Schizosaccharomyces pombe: one gene and its partner. Each later gene encodes a partner of the first gene's protein in a complex. Each region holds a gene or a part of one and is shown on either strand. Other genes may lie near its edges. The genes, in order: rkr1 and rqc2.

Region 1 (10,922 bases):
TTGTTCAAAGGCGGTTTCAGCTTCATAAAGCTTCTTCTCATCTTTAAGGCTTTTATCCTTCTTTTCCTGAAGTTTCTTGAAAGATGAACGATGACGATCATAATCCAGCTGCTTATGATCGCGTTTCAACAAAAGCTTATCTACATCCTTAACAATCTTGAGCAGTTCACCAGTTGGATTGACAATGCGAGTGTTGATAACATCCATTTCAGAAGCCAAATTCTTTTGGAGATCGTATACAATTTCCTTGTAAGCCTCGGCAGCCTCAATACCTTCCGCATTGCCTTCTTGCTCATACGATTCAGGATCCGAAGCACGCCCACTAATAGGCTTGTAAATTTCAATACAAGCATCGGCAAATCCAATTTGATGATTCAATAACCCATTAATAGCATCAGTATACTTTTTGGCGTCTTCAGCCAGCTTTTTCGCTTCCGTTTCTAAAGACTTAAACCGTCTTCCAGCATCCTCATAAATAGGATCTTTGGTAATCTCTCCAACATTAAACTTGCTGCGTAGAGTCTGCGGCGTACGCGCAAGTGCCTTTGTAAACCCTTTCCAGCTCATCAAGTAATTCTGGTAGTTGGTATGTCTGACCCTTTCAAATTCCCTTAACCATCCTTCTCCGTATTCACGTAGCATACTTCGCAGCAATGCTGATCGTTTCCTGTAATTGTGCCGAATCGCAAATACAGTATACTACGCAACGTCTCGTTATTTTTATTTTTATTTTTATCTAGATGAGGTGAAAACATAGTAAATATAAGGCAAACATTTGATTTTAATTTGCTCGTCTCTATGCTCTTTATTACAGTTTTTATTCGATTGAACAGTGTCTCCGTCGTTTACGATGCAATGATAACATACTGATAATTGCGCAGCTCTACATGTATTGGGTCGAAGCTTAGTTTTGGTTGGTTTCAGATACGCCGCCAACCAAAATTTTTATTAGTCAGATCGCAAAATTTGAACTTAGCAACTGCCAAATTATTTTAAAAAGGACTTGTTTCTTGTTGTTTAGGAAATAAATAAAGAATTAGCAAAATTTCCTCTATTTTGGAAACAACCATGTCCAAAATGGGAAGTTTGATGCTTTCTAGAGCAAGATGCCTTCTTGAACTACGAAGTGCTTTATTTTTTGTCAAGCGAGAGAGTCAGGATATTAATAATGTTAGACAGAGTCTTGGAGTTTACGGTAGGTCGTTTATGACTTCCAGTCGTATGGACAAACCTTCAATGAGCAATAAACCTCGTGAACAAATGTACGGGCTAGGAAACATGACGGCGGTTCAAGAGCCCATACCGGAAAATTCTTTGAAAACAGTAACTTTGGATCAAGCACAAACCGCTGCTAGTACGGTTACGGGATTGCATCCTATATATATGGATTTTCAAGCTACCTCTCCTCTCGACTATCGTGTACTAGATAGTATGCTTCCCTTCTTCACTGGAATTTATGGAAACCCACATAGTCGAACACACGCCTATGGCTGGGAAGCAGAAAAAGCTGTTGAAAATGCACGCCAAGAGATAGCATCTGTAATCAATGCTGATCCAAGAGAAATTATTTTTACATCTGGCGCAACTGAATCAAATAATGCTATTTTGAAAGGTGTTGCCCGATTTTACAAAAGTAGGAAAAAGCATCTTGTTTCCGTTCAAACTGAGCACAAATGCGTTTTGGATTCCTTACGTGCTCTCCAAGAAGAAGGGTTTGAAGTTACTTTTCTACCTGTTCAAACTAATGGCCTTATTAATTTGGATGAATTACGTGACGCCATACGTCCTGATACTGTTTGTGTAAGTGTAATGGCCGTCAATAATGAAATTGGTGTTTGTCAACCACTAGAAGAGATTGGCAAAATTTGTCGACAGAAGAAGGTTTTCTTTCACTCAGATGCTGCTCAAGGATATGGAAAAATTGACATTGACGTCAATCGAATGAACATTGATTTAATGTCTATTTCTGCTCACAAAATTTACGGCCCTAAAGGAATTGGAGCCGCTTATGTTAGAAGACGTCCTCGTGTACGTTTAGAGCCGCTTATTAGTGGTGGAGGTCAGGAACGAGGTTTACGAAGTGGTACTCTTGCTCCATCTCAAGTAGTGGGATTTGGTACTGCGGCCCGTATATGCAAAGAAGAAATGAAGTATGATTATGCACATATTTCCAAACTATCCCAAAGATTAATAGATGGCCTTCTTGCAATCCCATATACATCTTTGAATGGCGACCCTAAATCTAGATATCCAGGTTGTGTCAACATTTCTTTCAATTATGTAGAAGGGGAATCGTTGCTTATGGGTTTGAAAAATATCGCGCTGTCTTCTGGTTCTGCCTGCACATCCGCATCTCTAGAACCGTCTTACGTTTTGCGTGCAATTGGTCAGAGTGATGAAAATGCTCACAGTTCTATTCGTTTTGGTATTGGCCGATTTACAACTGAAGCCGAAATTGATTATGCTATTGAAAATGTGAGTAGACAAGTTTCTTTCTTAAGGAATATGAGCCCGTTATGGGATTTGGTTCAGGAGGGTGTCGATCTTAGTACTATAGAATGGAGTCAACATTGAAGAACGCTTAATTTTACCTATTGAAGATTTTATTTTTTTTTTATATGAACGTATGGAAGTTGAAACTTTTTACCAGCTGTTATATAGTTACAAAAAACTAAATTGTAAATTATCTCATACTTGATTTGAATCTATACGAAATAAATACACGGTTATGATATAAAAAAAAACATAAATTTGATAAAAATAAAATATAGTACCATTTAAAAAATATGTACCCCCAAGTCGTCAAAATTATAGCCAAAAAATGATATGAATCCAAAGCATAAACAAAAAATGTTAAGGAATATAATTAAAATGTAAAACACTCATTGAGAACGGGTACTTGCCTGACGATAAATATCGAAAAGCTCTTCTGTGTAGCGAAAACATTCATCTCCCCATATGGACATGGCGTTGGCTGGATCGCTGCCATTGTACATTTTACAATTAGCAAAGATTCGAAGAACTTCTCGATACAATTCATCCACTTCCGTGATGTTACCCTCTTTGATCATATTCTTCAATGTTCGTAAGTCTTGAGGTTTATAAACTAAAGAATCGTAATCTGGTGCCTCTTTACGATTTACAGGATGACTAAAAGGTGCTCCAAACCTGTGATTAGAAATATTGTCGAGCATAGGAAGCATTGCACTTTGGAACTTTTTCAAAGACTGCTTTTCTTCATTAGACAGGGCAGCGCGCTTTTTTGGAGTCTTAGTTGTGGGTGCAACTTCGGGTTCGATATTTGCAGGAGCTGCAATCTCTGGTGTTTTCTTTCTAGAACGAAGAGATTTATTAGCAGCCTCTACAGGAGCTTCAGTTTTCGCTTTTTTTGCTTCCTTGTCAGCTTCTTCAAGTGCGAGTTGATCCTCCACAGCTTTTGCCTTTGCCTTTGCAACCTCTTCATATAAGCTTTCCAGTTTTTTTTCACATCCCTGTATCTCTTCAGCCAAATCCTTTAGGACATCGTTCCGCAGCCTTTTTCGTAGATTTTTTCGAGCATCATTATCGTTTTGAGAAACTTGGTTGGAGAGAAGCTTTGAATCAGATTTATTGCTATCATGCATCCATTCCTCGACCAGATCCTTTAATTGATCTTGTTCAATTGGCTCTAAAAGCAGGCTGCTTTCTGCCGTTCGATTGAAGAGTTCTTCGTTGGGAGCATTAGGATTTTCTTGCTGAATATCAAGATATTGTAAAACAGCAACCTCTTGAGCAATATTCATTATGCACTATACTTGCATCATCTCCACTAATTTTACAAGACAAGACACGGTAGAAAGGGAGTCCTTCTTTTCGTAGTGTACTACCTCCTTCATACGGCGTGCGCGTAAAACCTAAATTCTCGTTAGAGATTGCTGTAAAACTTCATTAACGCAACAATGCTAAATAATTTACGTTAGTTGCCAACCTTACACATGTTGCATATCTTAATAATTCAATGTCTTAGTTTGAAGACTTCTATAGAATTGCAGTTTGTCAAATTGTAATTGATTCCTATGATACCAGTGAATTATGTTCTATAAACCTTTTGCGTAAAATCTTTAAATTTTGCTGGATAGTCACATCATACTAACCAAGTTTCCAACGTTTTCTGTAACTAACGCAATATTGAACAGATCGCAATAAAAATCATCGTATTTTTACTGCATCCTTAAATTAGATAAGGTATTTTGTAGATGACACCGTTTGATAAGTTACTTTAAATAAGTTTTGCGATTGCAATTAAAGAATCTGATATGTAAGCTACGCAGTTTGGTATCTGATTTAAGGATACGTAGAACTGCGGTGAGTTTTCCTTGTGATCTATTATATTACAATACACAGGTTGTATAAGTAGCAACTGAGTATAGGTATTGTATTAACTGGGTTATAATGTTACCTATCACTAATATAGCTCATAACTGAACTGAGGAACGAGGTTCAGCAGTAGCTCTATTTATAGTATTCAGATAATATTGATCTTAATAGATTATCATTAAGATCAATCTCCATATCGTATCATACATGGTACGATATATAATTAGAACATGTGACATATAGTGATACGCAACGTAGTGTATCATAGCGTAGTGTAGTATTGCTGACATGATATACAGTTTAGCAAGCTACTTAATTCCTTTTCCGTCATCACAAATAGTTAAGCTTTAAAGTATCAGTTTATAAAGCATTGCATACCACAATGAATTGCTTAAAACAACGTTATCAATAACCTATGATAACGTCGGACAGACTGATATCTGATTTCCTTTGTAATTTTTCATTCTTTGTGCCAAATTGATCCGCTGCATTCCATTGCATTGTAAACTAAAAAAAAAGATGAAAAAAAAATCTACGGATTTATACGGGTAAGTAAAGATGTGAGAAGATGGTAACAAAATGGGTTTGCACACAAAATAGGGTCTTTCTCATTGGATATATGCAGAACACCTATGTTATTACAAATCCATACTTTTCCATATTTTGGGGAAGTTTGTTTAAAAATACAACGATTCTTTTTTCTTTATGTATGTGCCGAAATGCTAATCTCTTTATAGCCGTAAAAATCCCGGGATGCAATCGATGTCAGGATCGTTTTCATCCTTGCAAATTGCGTTGGATGAGTCCAGCTCAAATTTTAGTACGATATATGAGCCTCCAGACTTGTCTGGTTTAGACGCAGAAATGATTGTTATTGTGAAGAATTTGCAAAAGCGTGACATCGTAACGAAATGTCGAGCTTTACAAGATTTAATTCAGTGGAATGACCCATCACAGTTTGACAATGAACAGTTTCTAAATGCTTTGGCAGTTTTATTTCCTCGACTATCTATAGAAGTGGAACGACATGTGCGGTTAAAAATCTTTGTCTTCATGTCTGTTCTATCTTCTGCGCTTCAAAAAAAACTTGCACCATGGCTCAAATTCTATATCACACCTTGGGTTATGGGTTTTTTTGATTCAGATCGTGCAGTCTCTGTATCAGCAAAAGACTCTTTTAAAAATTTACTCTCCGAAGAAAAGTGGCCCCATGTTTGGCTGAAGTTTGGATCTACTATCGCACCTATAGTCACTGATGTTTTTTTACATGAAGACAAAGAATCGTTAACGGATTTGCGTTTTTTTTCAAATGAAGAAGCTGAATCGAAAGTTACCAGAGTTAAATCTAGCTGTCTTCTGACCCTTTCTTTTCTTTTCAAACAGACTGCCGATTTAGAAAATCTAGAGACAGATAAGAAGATAGATAAGCAAACCTTTAAGTCATCTCTTTACGAGAACTTGTCTACACTTTTCAAGTCTGACGAATTTTGGTCTTTGGTTTCCTCACCTCAGGATGGTGTCACAGTGAGCCTGAGCGATTTATTGCTCATTATCTTGAAGTATGATAAACCTTTTGTTACCCAATATAAAGAGAAATATTTTAAACGTGTTTCACGAATGATTTCACGACTAACTAGTTTGACCTGCGTCCCTATGCTTAGGCTTCTTAGTAACATGATTTCTAATTTCCCCAACGAGGTTCACCAATTTGCAAATGATTCAAAACGTCCTCTTTCAAAGTTGTTCTCAAATTTGATCACCAAGCGAATCAGCCTTCCTAATTCTGGGTTTTACACATCCTTGCTGAATTTGTTTAAAAGTATAGGCGCTATGCAGCTCGTTCCTTCCATTGAAAGTGTAGACGAATTGTGTGATGCATTCTTAGAAACTGCAAATCAAGAACAACGTTTCCTATCTACTGAAGTTTATGACTGTTTACTCAATTTCTTGTCATTTGTTTATACCGATTCTTCCGATCCTCAAATTAAGGATCATGTCCGTGACCGTTTAAGGACTATATTTACCAGGTATTTTAAAGGTGAATTTGTTCTACGCTGTTCAACGTCTGATTTCGATCATTGCTTGCAAAGTGTATTCGATAAAAATTCAGATTTCGCCTCGCTCTGGAACGAAGTGTTATTTGGTTTCTTTAATGATGAATCTATGGACATTGAAACTATCCCATTTGATTCTTTATCACGTAACTTAAGCTTAACCGTTCAAACAGTTTTATATCTTAAAAATAGAAATTTTCAAACTGGAAATGAAGTCATGTCGATTCTGGGACCTTGTTTGTCATTTTTAATGAAATTGTCTACCCACAAAAATGAACGTATTGCATGTTTATCGGCATCCCAGTTAATAACTGTTTGTCACATATTCAGTGATACTACATTGATTAAACCCGTTAAGGAACTTTTTCAAAAATATTTGGTGAATGATTTGCCTTCTTCGATTTTAAAGCTTGGGCCTCAATCTCCAGCCTTTACTTTGCTTCGTGATATTCTTTTACTTCTTAAAGATTACGCGGATCTCTCTGAGCCTTGGGAAAATGTTGCTAATCAATTCACAGTGTCCTTTGATGAACTGGAAAATATTAGGGTTTTAAATAGTCTTCCCTCTTTGTTTGCTGATGGAAAACTAAGGGGGAAAATTTCCTTGGTAAAAACATTAGTAGAATACTATGATACAGCAGTATTTGCTATTATGCAAAACCCAGGAAACGATTGGGATATGATAAGAGCGTGCATTGGGTCTAAGGAAATCCTTGTTCCAGAAGAAACGATTAAAAATATTTTGTTTACGACCTTGGAGTATTTTCTTACGAATGATTGGGTTGATAATCATTTGATTATTTTGTGCGCATCATTGCATTCTCTGAAAGCTCATCTTCCAACAATATTTGATGAAAATAAATCCTTGTATTCTTTGCTTCCTGTGATCCTTTTCAGTAAACCAGAAGATGATGGCCATGTTGCAGCTCATTTTGAAAGTATCTTCTCCCTATTGAAAGAGAAAGCATTAGAAGATTCCGGTTTTTCTCTTAAACTATGTTCAGAAGTGCAGGAATGGTCATTGAATAAGGTTTTGAATGGTTCTATAAATGAAAAGTTAGCTGCTGATAAGTGTGTTCTTGTTTTCAATTCGTTTGGAAAACTCCCTTCAAACTTCTTTACGTTTCCTGCCTCTTTTTGGGATGCAAAAATATCCTCTTGCATTCCTTTTTTCTCTAACAAGTTGTTCATTGACCAAGATTTTATTCTCGGATTTCTAGATTTAGTTGCCTCAGAGCCCATAAATGTTGATATGACAGACGTAGGTACTCAATTTGTGCATATATTCCATGCCTCCTTATACACTTTATATTATGTTGAAACTACCGGATGCGACGGTGATGCTTTATTTAACCTTACGTTTGCTTATTTGTTAATACGAATTTATTTACAAAATGGCATACAAAGCATAATTGATGTTCCCATCCGAGATGCTGGAATATTTGTGGAATCTTTTGAATGCTACTTCAAAGGTGAAGTGGTTAAATTTATGCGCGATAAGGATGCTTTGACAGTATTAAATGAGCTTTTAATTGATGATATAGATGGGAAAATGCCTGTATTGTTTAAAAGATTTAAAAATTTGTCATCTGCAGAGAATACTACTTCTTTTTCTATATTTGCCGCTCAAGGGTTAACAGATTTTTTGATTGTTGTCTCAAATTTGTTAGAAATGGATGAGAAACACGTTGATGTTGTTTTAGGAAAGCTGGGCTTGAGCTCTTCAAAATCCCCTATTTTCGTATCTTCTATTTTAGAAGGATTGAAGCCATTAGAAGTAGATTCTGAAATTATTCAACGAATTCGTTTTAAAGCAGTAAACGATCTAACAGGTAAACTTCACTCTGCTAATGAAGTTTCTAAGTCTCTGTTGATTTTGAATGCGGCTACCACTCAACAGATTACTGAGAAGCCCCTTCTTCCTATCACAAGATGCAGACTTTTTTTGGAAAATATTACCAATTGGTGTTCTGAAAGTGGAATTAAATCTTTAGAGCTATTACCTGTTTGTTGCTTTCTTCGTTTCATGTACTATTTTTTACCCACTGTTTTTTCGTTATCTGGTTCTTATTGGAATAGCATTTTCGATTATATTAAATATGCTATGAAGATGTCTGTAGTGGATGCCCCAATAGTAAAATCGTTTGAACTATTTGCTCTTCGACTTTATAATGCTTTATCCAAGAACTATGAAATGAACTCTGATATTAAAGATTGTATTGTTGAGTCTAATGAATCCATGAATTATCTTTTGTTGAAACGATTTCTCTTTACTCACGAATCTACCCTGAGAAACTCGGTAACCGCACGTATGTGTAACCAATATTTGGTGAAGCTTTTAGAAAACTGTCCAGGGAAGGTTGTTCGCAGTTTTCAATATCAAGAGTTTTTTCCATCGTTGTGTAACTCGAATGATTTGCAAATGGAGTCTGTTTGTATGAAATTTTTACGCGAAAAATTAAGTCATGAGCTTAAGGAACTTACTGTTTACTACATGGTTGAAAGTGATTACGAACCTGATGTTTCATTATGCCCAGAACTTCTATCTCTCGCTATTGATTTTCCTGGAGATCCGTTTGTAATGGTAAGCAAAATGGAGAAATATGAACATGCGTTGCGTGTGTATCTTTTAGTTTGGGATCTTATCTTTTATCATTTTGAGGAAACCACTTACAATATAAAGCTGTCAATTATTAACCAACTTCATGCTATGGATTTATTACGTCCTTTGCTTAATACTTTAGTTGAAATTCTTAATTTATCATATGACAGGCCAATTAACGTTGATAAGTATCCCAAAATTGATTACAACCTTATGGATTATTCCTCTGCTACAGATCGTATTCGATGTCTTGCAATTCATATCTATTATCAATGTCTTAGACATCTTTCTTCTTCTGTTAGAAGTTATTGGTCTGAAGTTAAGAATAGAGCCTTCACTTCTACTGTTGAATCGTTTACAGGGTACAATGTTTCCCCGCTGTTGATTTCTGCTTCCTTAGACGATGTGGAGAGATCAATTGAATCCGAAGATTTTCAATCTGTTGGTGATGTTAATGTGAAAGTTAACAGAAACACCAGAGAGATATCTTTCATCTATAATGTTGATGAGCACAAACTGGAAATGGCCATCAAAATTCCCTCTGTATATCCCCTACAAAATGTTCAAGTAGAAGGAATAGAAAGAGTCGGTGTTAACGAACGACAATGGCGCTCATGGATTTTGGCTTCTCAAAGTATCTTATCATCGCAAAATGGCTCTATCACTGATGCGTTACTAGTTTTGAAGAAGAATATATCCATGCACTTTGAAGGCGTTGAAGAATGTGCTATTTGCTATTCTGTCTTGTCTGTGGAGCGTACTTTGCCAAATAAACGATGTGGAACATGTAGGCACAAATTCCACGCATCATGTTTATACAAATGGTTCAAATCTTCAAATTCAAGCCGCTGTCCACTGTGCCGCAGCAGCTTTACATTTGTTTAGGCACTTTAAAAAAAAATTGGTATTTTAATGGTGTGATATCTTTGGTTCTTTTTTTTTATGATACATTATAATGAAGTTTAGTGTTATTTAGTTACTAGTGAATGAATGTGTCTGTTTTGTTTTGATCGTTAAAAGTTTATACGAGTTTAGTGTTTGTTTGTATGCAAAGTCGATTACCTGATTTGAGTTTTATTGTAGCTAAAGTCGAAAATTTAAATGTCCATTGCTTGAATAGAATGTGAAAATGAGAACTTTAATAACGACTGAAGTAAACAAATAATTTCTCAATAAAATTCCATATAACTGATTTAAAAAATGTAAGTTATTTAAGATATTTAAAGAAACTTATAGTATAACAAGGTTTTTGTTATTGTTTGTGTTTGGTAGATTAGTGTACGCAATGATTCGAGTGTTTACTTGCTAGGAGCTATAAGAATAAACAGCTAGTAAAAAACCGATATCATTTGTTATGACACAACAACTACACCTGGTTTGTTTTAAACTTTTATTCAAGACGAATCCTACTAGAACAACGCACATTAATAACAGTAAAATGAGCAACGTGGAACAACCGTTTATGCAAGGAATAGATGATGGGTGGAATTTAAAAAACTACCTAAACATTCAATCCACATCTCTGTAAGCATTGCAAACTTTAATTACTAGAGAGAATATACTAACCTGCAAAGTTGTTTAGATAAACTTTGCAATATCTATACTCAAGGTCAAGATGAGAATGAGGATGCAAAAGAATTGCAAGCCATCAAAATCAAAATAGAGTGGTGTAAAGATACAAGCGTTTTGCTTTCCTCTATATGTGTGATGCTCCTTGATTCAATCCACGATTTTCTAGTACAACAAGGAAAGATCACTAAAGAATCAATAAGCAAAAGAGATTATAGTCATGAAATTACAATTTTTAACTTCAAATACGCTCAACAAGAGATGCAAAATGAAAAGCTTTATCATTTTGCGAAGCTTCTTGAACCCGCACTTGAGAGCTTGAAGGTGACAAACAATCATAT
Region 2 (9,041 bases), on another chromosome or scaffold:
CCTCAACGAAAGGAATCAAGATAAAGATTACAAATGAACTTTTATTAACTACTGTAAAAAAGTGAGTAGTTCTTAAAATGATAAGAATTGATCAATTGCAACGATAACACGATTTATCATTCCCTTTTATTTTTAAATTCTTTCCAGACCGCTTAACACGCCTGTATAAAAAGATGGCAAAACAAAGAAATTGAGACCTAAGATCCCTATTGACGTCAAATCTAAAAACGTTAATTATAAATCATATATCTGGCTTTCGAACAATTATTTATTTGCTAAGCATTCATATAGATCAAATTCATGAATCTTGTATAGCTAGGTAGAAGGAAGCGTTAGAATCGGTAAATTCTTAGCAAACCGAACAGGAGGTGACAGCCATGTAGTCAGTAATTCGTACAACTCATAAGTTACCCAAAGGTACATAGATATATGCAGATAAAATAGATATAAATTTAATAATTGTTCTAAAATTAACTGATAATTGTTCAAGCGCTTAGATACTTGTTTTCTGTAATATGAATTATGTCTTTACATCTCTAGTTCATTTTATGAACAATAATGACCACAAGAACAAAATTCAAATCAGAACTGGTTATGATGATGGACTAACTGGTTTATACACCGTCCCCTGTTACAATATACAATTCGTAGAAAACGCTTTAGTTTTTCAAAGGAAGCATTATTCTTGAATGAAACTACAAAAAGAACAATTTGATTAATTATTCCTATTTCCAATTCTTGGATAATTCAAAGTTTTATTAAATGAAAATGAATAATCTCCCATTTCAGAACTATATGTTCCAAACTGAACAGAAAAAAGGTTTCGACAAAGATTGTATTAGATTACAGTGCAGTAAATTTGAAACCATTATCAATTATTCTAGCGCAACTTTCTCATAACCCAAATTGCGTATATAGATGGACGCCAATTTTAAAAAAAATGCAAGTTATTTTCACGAAAATGCGAGGGCATCTTCATGAGTTTGATCGAGATCGTATACAGAACCCCCTTTTTGTTATCCTTTTCGCATTAGTTTAACCCAGCATACAACTCATAAAGAGAGCAATATGATTCATGGTTAAGAGGCAATCAAAAGGACGCCTGGAAGGAAATATTATAAAATTGCTGAAATAAAAAAAAGTATTTAAACTTGTTTAAAAGAAAACGAATCGTATGTGTAGATTCAAATATTCATCAAACCGAATCGTGAATTTCCGTTTTCTTAGTATAATAAATATAGGGATCTCCTAGTTTTAATCATGACAATATAGAAAATTTCCCGAATAACTGAACTATTCATCATCAGAAACTAACAGCGTCACCTCGTCTTTTTTCTTCTCCTCTATTTTAGTGAAAGGATTGACCGAGTTATCGTCTTTCTTTTGTTCAGAGGCATTCTTTTCTATTGTAGAGTCAACAGAAAGTAAAGATATTTCTTCTGTCAGCGTTTCAACACTCGTATCAATCAACTTTTCCAATTCATCAGACCATCCTAATAGTTTACATAACGCACGTACTTGGGAATCACAATCCCCCAATATCATGATATCCTTTTTTCTCTCCCCAAAGTCGCCAGCTGGTTCTCGATTAATCAAAACTCGTTGACATTTATTTGGCACTATTTCAGGCAAATCCGCGAATGGATGAACAAGTAAACTTGTTCCAATTACCAGTGCCATATCACAGACTTTTGTGTCCTTTTCCATGTGCTCGAAGAAACGCATTGGTAATCCCTCGCCATAAAACACAATCATTGGTTTGATGAGACCTTTGCAACTGTTGCATTTAGGGACCTGTTTTTGCATAATACATGCTCTAACATACTCCGTTTCCGCCTTTGTTTTCCGTCAGTAAAACCAATTTCTGCTTTTTCACTTTAACTTTTTCAAAAACAATCCTTACCATTTCGTAACATTCAATACAGCGGCTGTATTGGAAAGAGCCATGTGCTTCAATCAGAGCTTTGTCAGGCACACCTGCCAAACGCTCCAAGGTATCAATATTTTGGGTATAACATTTTTGTAGTAACCTTTTATCATGTAAAAGGCGTATAAAATAATGAGTATAAGTTGGTCTATACTTTTCAGGCATCAATTCGTGAGCCAATTCGTAGAATGGACGCGGATTTTTTCGAAAATAAGATAGATCAAAAACAGCTTCTGCGTAAGGAAGATTAAATCTTTGTAAATTATTGTAAATTCCAGTCTCAGGGCTTCGAAAATCAGGGATTCCTGCTGCAGTGCTGATCCCTGCACCAACCATAACACATATTTTCTTTACTATTTTCGATAAAATCGCATTAGTATGGTCAAGGAAAGAAAATTAAAAGTCATTACCTTTTCCTTCTTTGATTAAGGATGCAACTTTCTCTAAATGCTTGGAAGAGTCGACGTGTTTAACAGTGTTTTTCACCATTGTCGAATTTCTGAGAACAACCAAAGCAAGCCAATAATCGATTTACCTTAAAAATCCCAACTCAAACTCTTTCAAAAATTGGATCACTTAAAATTCTCAGATATGAACAAATCAATATGTTAATGCACAAAGTTTGTGGGTACGCCAAATTTCCATTATTATTTACTCGTTGAAAATATCAAACGCCATTACCGATGCTCCATTAAACTGCATTATACTGTTTAAAAGGCTATTGTATTCGACTTTAGTACTCGTTATTTGGTAAACATTTAGAGCCATCTTTTTCAATTAAGAGTTTCTGGATGTCGTTGAAAAAATGAGATACGGGGTAATCAGAAATTATGATTAATCAACTTTCGGCTCACTTGATTAGATTCAGCAACGATAACTCTTGACTTTCTGGTTTTACTTATTGGGTTGGTCACACCAGTTTGACATATTAGGTGTCAAAGTTTTTTATAAGTTTATCATTAGTTAACTATTTTTTATCTTTATAATCAGTGTCATGTACGACTATAAATGTACGATTAAAGAATCATCGTCGGGAAAGAAATAATGAATTTGAGAGAACAATCCAAATTTGCGCTAAGAATTTTAATGCTGCTAATGTACACCGTTTTATGGTGCAATGGTGTGCTATAATTTTCCTTATTACATATTGCGGATATCATTGCGCTTTGTTAGTGCTTCAGTTTCACTTACGTTATACACATGTTTACATTCTAACTAGAGCCTATACTTCATTTTGTTGTAACGCAGAAATTCATTTAGATAGGTGTTATAGACGTAAATGAAGCAAAGATTTTCCGCTTTAGATATTGCTGCGATTGCTGCGGAATTACGAGAACAAGTGGTTGGGTGTCGCTTGAATAACTTTTATGATCTAAATGCGCGTACCTTCTTGTTGAAGTTTGGTAAACAAGTATGTGTAGAAAGTAATAAATATTTTTTTACTAACCCGTTAAAGGATGCAAAATATTCTATTGTTATTGAAAGTGGGTTTCGTGCTCATTTAACAAAATTTGATCGAGAAAATGCCCCTTTGTCTGGGTTTGTAACGAAGCTACGAAAACATATAAAATCTAGAAGGTTAACTGGTGTCTCTCAGTTGGGTACTGATCGAGTACTCGTTTTCACATTTGGAGGTGGTGCGAATGATCAAGACCCCGATTGGACGTACTATCTGGTTTGTGAATTTTTCGCTGCTGGAAATGTTTTACTATTAGACGGCCATTACAAGATTCTGTCTCTTTTACGAGTGGTCACCTTCGATAAAGACCAAGTTTATGCCGTAGGGCAAAAGTACAATTTAGACAAAAATAATCTCGTTAATGACAATAAATCTCAGTCTACTATTCCTCATATGACAGCTGAACGATTAAATATCCTTTTGGATGAAATAAGCACTGCTTATGCTTCTCCTACTTCTATTAACGAACCTTTACCTGACCAACAACTATCCTCTTCTACAAAGCCGATTAAAGTACCCAAACCAGTTTCTCTTAGAAAAGCATTGACTATAAGATTAGGTGAATATGGTAATGCACTTATAGAGCACTGTCTTCGGCGTTCAAAATTAGATCCACTATTCCCTGCTTGCCAGCTCTGTGCAGACGAAACCAAGAAAAACGATTTATTAGCTGCTTTTCAAGAAGCCGACTCCATATTAGCTGCAGTTAATAAGCCCCCAGTAAAGGGTTATATATTTTCACTGGAGCAAGCACTAACAAATGCTGCTGATCCTCAACACCCTGAAGAATGTACTACATTATACGAAGATTTTCACCCTTTTCAGCCTTTACAGCTCGTTCAGGCAAACAGAAAGTGCATGGAGTTTCCAACCTATAACGAATGCGTTGACGAGTTTTTCTCTTCTATCGAAGCACAAAAGCTAAAAAAACGAGCACATGATCGCCTAGCGACAGCTGAGCGAAGGCTTGAATCGGCTAAAGAGGATCAAGCACGAAAACTTCAAAGTTTACAAGATGCCCAAGCTACTTGTGCGTTGAGGGCTCAGGCAATTGAGATGAACCCTGAACTTGTTGAGGCTATTATCTCATACATTAACTCTCTGTTGAACCAAGGAATGGATTGGTTAGATATTGAAAAGTTAATTCAATCTCAAAAAAGAAGAAGTCCGGTAGCTGCTGCTATTCAAATTCCCCTTAAACTTATAAAAAACGCCGTTACCGTTTTTCTTCCTAATCCAGAGTCTGTAGATAATTCTGATGAAAGTTCAGAAACCAGCGATGATGATTTGGATGATTCTGATGATGATAATAAAGTGAAGGAAGGAAAAGTTTCGTCAAAGTTTATTGCCGTTGAATTGGATTTATCTCTTGGCGCCTTTGCAAATGCGCGTAAACAGTATGAATTACGTCGAGAAGCTTTAATTAAAGAAACAAAGACTGCGGAGGCAGCCTCAAAAGCCCTGAAAAGCACCCAACGCAAGATTGAACAGGATTTGAAGCGCTCTACTACTGCAGATACACAACGTATTCTCCTTGGTAGAAAGACATTCTTTTTTGAAAAGTTTCATTGGTTTATTTCTTCGGAAGGTTATCTAGTTCTGGGAGGCCGTGATGCCCAGCAAAATGAATTACTTTTCCAAAAGTATTGCAACACAGGTGATATCTTTGTTTGTGCAGATTTGCCAAAGTCTTCGATAATTATTGTAAAAAACAAAAATCCTCATGATCCTATTCCCCCTAATACTCTACAACAAGCTGGATCCTTGGCTTTGGCTTCATCTAAAGCATGGGATTCAAAGACCGTAATCAGTGCATGGTGGGTTCGAATTGATGAGGTATCGAAACTTGCTCCAACAGGTGAAATTCTTCCAACAGGAAGTTTTGCTATTCGGGCCAAAAAAAACTATTTACCTCCTACTGTCCTCATTATGGGATATGGAATATTATGGCAGTTAGATGAAAAAAGTTCTGAGCGTCGCAAAGCTAGAAGGTTAGAAATGGAGGTTGTTGAAACTCAAGGAAAGGTGTCGGAACTTAAAATGGAAGGTACTTCGGTAACTTCTGAAGATAACATTCAAGATGTTGTGTCTGAAGTCAGTTACAATGAGGACACCAACAATCAAAGTACTCCTGATACCACTGGTTCAGACATCCATATTGTCAGCGAAAAGCGTGGTAAAAAAGGTTCTAAAGTTATAACAGCTAAGAAAGTATCTGCCAAAGAAAGGCGTGAAGCACGTCGCGCTAGAAGGCAAACTGCTTTGGAGGAATCTCTTAAAGCACCTATTTCAATAGAGGATGCTACAGACCCACAAACTATTTTGGCAATTTTAAAACAAAAAAAGGCTAAGAAGAAGCATGCGGCTCGAGAAATGGAAATTTCGTCTCAAATTCCTTCTAATGATTCATCAAACGTTCAAACACCCACTGCCGAATCAGAGATTGAAGAAGATGGCGTCTCCGAGCCCATTAGTGCAGAAGTAATTGAAGACCAAAGTCGTAACAGTGAAGCTGAGAATGAAAAAGGTTTGTCTACTGAACAGAGAGACGAAAAAAAGCATGCGAAGGTTGAAAGTTTTCAAAGACAAGAGATGCCGAGGAGTTTATTCGAAGAAATATTTTTTGCAATTGATTCTTTAACCCCTAATCCTCAACAGCAGGATACTGTGATAAACGCTGTTCCGACATTTGCCCCATACAATGCTATGACTAAATTTAACCAGAAGGTAAAAGTCATGCCTGGAACTGGAAAAGTTGGGAAAGCGGCAAGGGAATCAATCGCCTACTTCATGAAAAAACTTCCCAAGTCATCAAAAGAAGCTGCTTATCTTGAAAACCTTAAAGACGGTGAAATTGTTGCTCCTATAAGTGTGAGTCGTTTAAAGATGGTTTTTGGATCTAGCGGTAATACCAAAAAGTCAAAGAAATGAAAATATTTATTTGAGATTAATAGTTGGAGCTACTTCACTGTTTGATTTTGTTTTTGTTTTTGTTTTTTTAAACAGAAATTGAAGAAATCAGCGAATATTATGGTTTTCAAAGAGAATTTTGTATCAAAAAGTTAAATTTGTTTATTAATAAAATGACAATTCCTACATTAGACTTCATTTAATATCATCTAAAAGTAATGTGCTGGCATTAAGCATGACCTTGTTATTGCTCTTTGAAAGAATGTTTGCAATTTCACGAGCAGTTTCAAGCTTTCTTAACTCGATGAAACCAGGCTTATTTTTAATAGCTTCACCAATTAGTTGCGCTGCTCTACCTTCACCTTGAGCACGAACAATAAAGCCCTGTTTTTCCATTCGAGCACGATCGACATAGAAAGTAGCTAAAAAATTATTGTTAATATTGAATTTGTACGAAGAGCTGAACCATACCTCTTTGAGCATCTTGCTGGGCAATTTGCTTGGCCTCTACAGCGGCTGTAAATTCAGGAGAGAATTGAACTATTGGATGCAGTTAGTATTTTAAGGTACAAACGCTTGACTAATGTTAGTCATACCATGAGTAAGTGAGACATCATCAAGCAAAATATTGAATCGGGCTGCTCTCTTCATTAAATTCTCGCGAACCAACCTAGATACACGTTCACGCTGGGTGATCAACTGGCTTGCATTAAATTGAGCTACAACGCTTTTTAAGACTTCATTAACAATAGAGGGCAAAACACGTTCATCATAATCACCACCTAAAGTACGATAAATTTTTGGCAAAGCATGAACATCGGGACGAGACAAAACACGACAATTAATGTTCACCATTTGTAAATCTAAAGAAAAATGGTTAACATATTTCTAGTAATACAACCAACAAAAACCCCTCAAAGCTTAGCTATTCGAGAAGAGTAGAATCCATAAACACAATTCATCACTTTGCAACTAAAAGCTTAATTCACAGTAGGTATAAAAACCAAATGAATGTTTCTTACAGTCACCTTTAGTTATGTACGCTCAACGTTTTAATTCTTGTAACCTACCTTTCGTTCCGGTTAGAGAAGATATATTTCGTGGTTTAGCACGAACATCGTAATCAATGGCCGTTTCGATCCAAGGAATCAAGAAGTGGGTTCCTTCAGGATATATAAGGTTTTTAATTCCTCCAATCCTGCTATACTTAATAGCTCGGTGACCACCATCAACGTTAAAAAGAGAAGTCTGCACAGCAAATCCTGCAAGGCCAAGAGCTAACAACAAACCAGTTCCTGTAAAAGCATATTTTCCTTTAGGAAGTCCCCGCTTCATCAAATCATTCATCTGCTGGAACGGTCTTTGACGATTCATACTGAAAAGCTGTATACGGGAAAGAAAGACTTGTAAAATGAATACGTATAAGTAAGCATTTAAAATGGCACTTCAGTATACCTTATCCATTTTATCGTATTGTATCATAGTACGGTATTTGAGTTGGATTAATGTTGTTTTATATGCAAAAAAAAAACAAATAACTCGATAGTTTTTTTCATAATTTTCTTTTATTTTATTGATATTATAATATAAAATTAGCAGGAATTGAATACTGCTATTTTTATCGCTTTGTAGTGTGCAGCCTTGATAGAAAATGTGAGGTGCGTCGTTTTATTTCGCGAACAAGTTGAAACTTACTAAACTTCATTCATTATATGATTTATATTTTTTTTCTAATTACAAACAAAAAGGTATTGACGTTTTAATTTTAAAACTTGCTTTTTCAATAAACGGTGAACGATGTGCATTTAAAATCTAAACAAAAATATTTTTTCCCATACCTGTTATTTTGTTTTATTTTTTGAAACAAAAAAAACTGTAATTAATCAACTGTCTGATAAATAAACGAAGAAAAGCCATCGGGGACTCAAAAATATAAGTTATCAATTACATTTGCATTGTACGTTTAACAGCATTCTATGATTGAATTTTATAAAAGGTATGCTAAGACAATAGAATATTGCAACAATGTTACAATATTTAATATGAAACCGAAATTTGTTTTGCATTTTCTTATTTACTATCTTTTGGTGCAAAAGCACACATAAATGAATTTTTCTAGTAATTCTTTTACTTTTAATTTTCTTTGTAAACCTTCTTTCGATTTAATGTATAGACGGGCTTTGTTTTGTTTACAATAAATAAAAATATCTGCAATCGATACTCTACGAGACATAATTAAAAAAAAAAAATAAATAAAAGTAAAAATAAAAAGACATAGGCCCTTGGTCACAATAGTGATTGGTATAAACGAGAAACATAGTAATATGAATTATAATAGTCAAAAAATGTATACATGATATTTAGTAGTATTATAATTATTAGACTAATTTTTTGAAGTATATCTAAGGATCAAAAAGAAGCTTTATTGTTATAACATGTATTTTGAACAAAAGCTGCATAAATGAAGCATCATCCATCTTAGCGCAAGCTCAGAAGTAATATATACATAAAAGAAAATAGCCAACTTTATAAGGACTATATTAAAGATAAGGCCTCCCGAGGAGATTTGAAAATATTGTACGTTTGAACAAGCAAAGTAAAAAGGTAACGTCAAATAAACCTCGGAAGAATATATTCAATCTTTCAGCTCGTTTGAGATAAAAGTCATCATAAATTACTTAGCATTTATTTTAGCTGTTACGTCTACCTGGCACAAACCTGTACTAAATACGAGTAATTCTTTTC

The links.
Region 2: rkr1 (region 1) and rqc2 share a complex: the UniProt entries of both Schizosaccharomyces pombe proteins name them as parts of the ribosome quality control complex.

What each region holds. Positions count from the first base shown.
Region 1 is NC_003423.3:2,421,692-2,432,613, forward strand, and holds rkr1 (ubiquitin-protein ligase E3), read left to right. Parts: upstream 1-4,830; 5' UTR 4,831-4,875; coding exon 4,876-4,904; intron 4,905-5,093; coding exon 5,094-9,897; 3' UTR 9,898-10,031; downstream 10,032-10,922. Other genes in the region: BAR adaptor protein Hob1, read right to left, coding at 1-567; cysteine desulfurase Nfs1, read left to right, coding at 1,069-2,574; bdc1 (bromodomain-containing protein 1), read right to left, coding at 2,883-3,782; SPOM_SPBC21D10.08C (uncharacterized protein), read left to right, coding at 10,451-10,536, 10,587-10,922. UniProt on the Schizosaccharomyces pombe protein: E3 ubiquitin-protein ligase component of the ribosome quality control complex (RQC), a ribosome-associated complex that mediates ubiquitination and extraction of incompletely synthesized nascent chains for proteasomal degradation.
Region 2 is NC_003421.2:1,322,473-1,331,513, reverse strand, and holds rqc2 (ribosome quality control complex subunit Rqc2), read left to right. Parts: upstream 1-3,140; 5' UTR 3,141-3,206; coding exon 3,207-3,338; intron 3,339-3,383; coding exon 3,384-6,317; 3' UTR 6,318-6,457; downstream 6,458-9,041. Other genes in the region: histone deacetylase, Sirtuin family, NAD-dependent Hst2, read right to left, coding at 1,294-1,836, 1,904-2,280, 2,338-2,416; prohibitin Phb2, read right to left, coding at 6,492-6,718, 6,768-6,836, 6,893-7,159, 7,367-7,670. UniProt on the Schizosaccharomyces pombe protein: Key component of the ribosome quality control complex (RQC), a ribosome-associated complex that mediates the extraction of incompletely synthesized nascent chains from stalled ribosomes as well as their ubiquitin-mediated proteasomal degradation.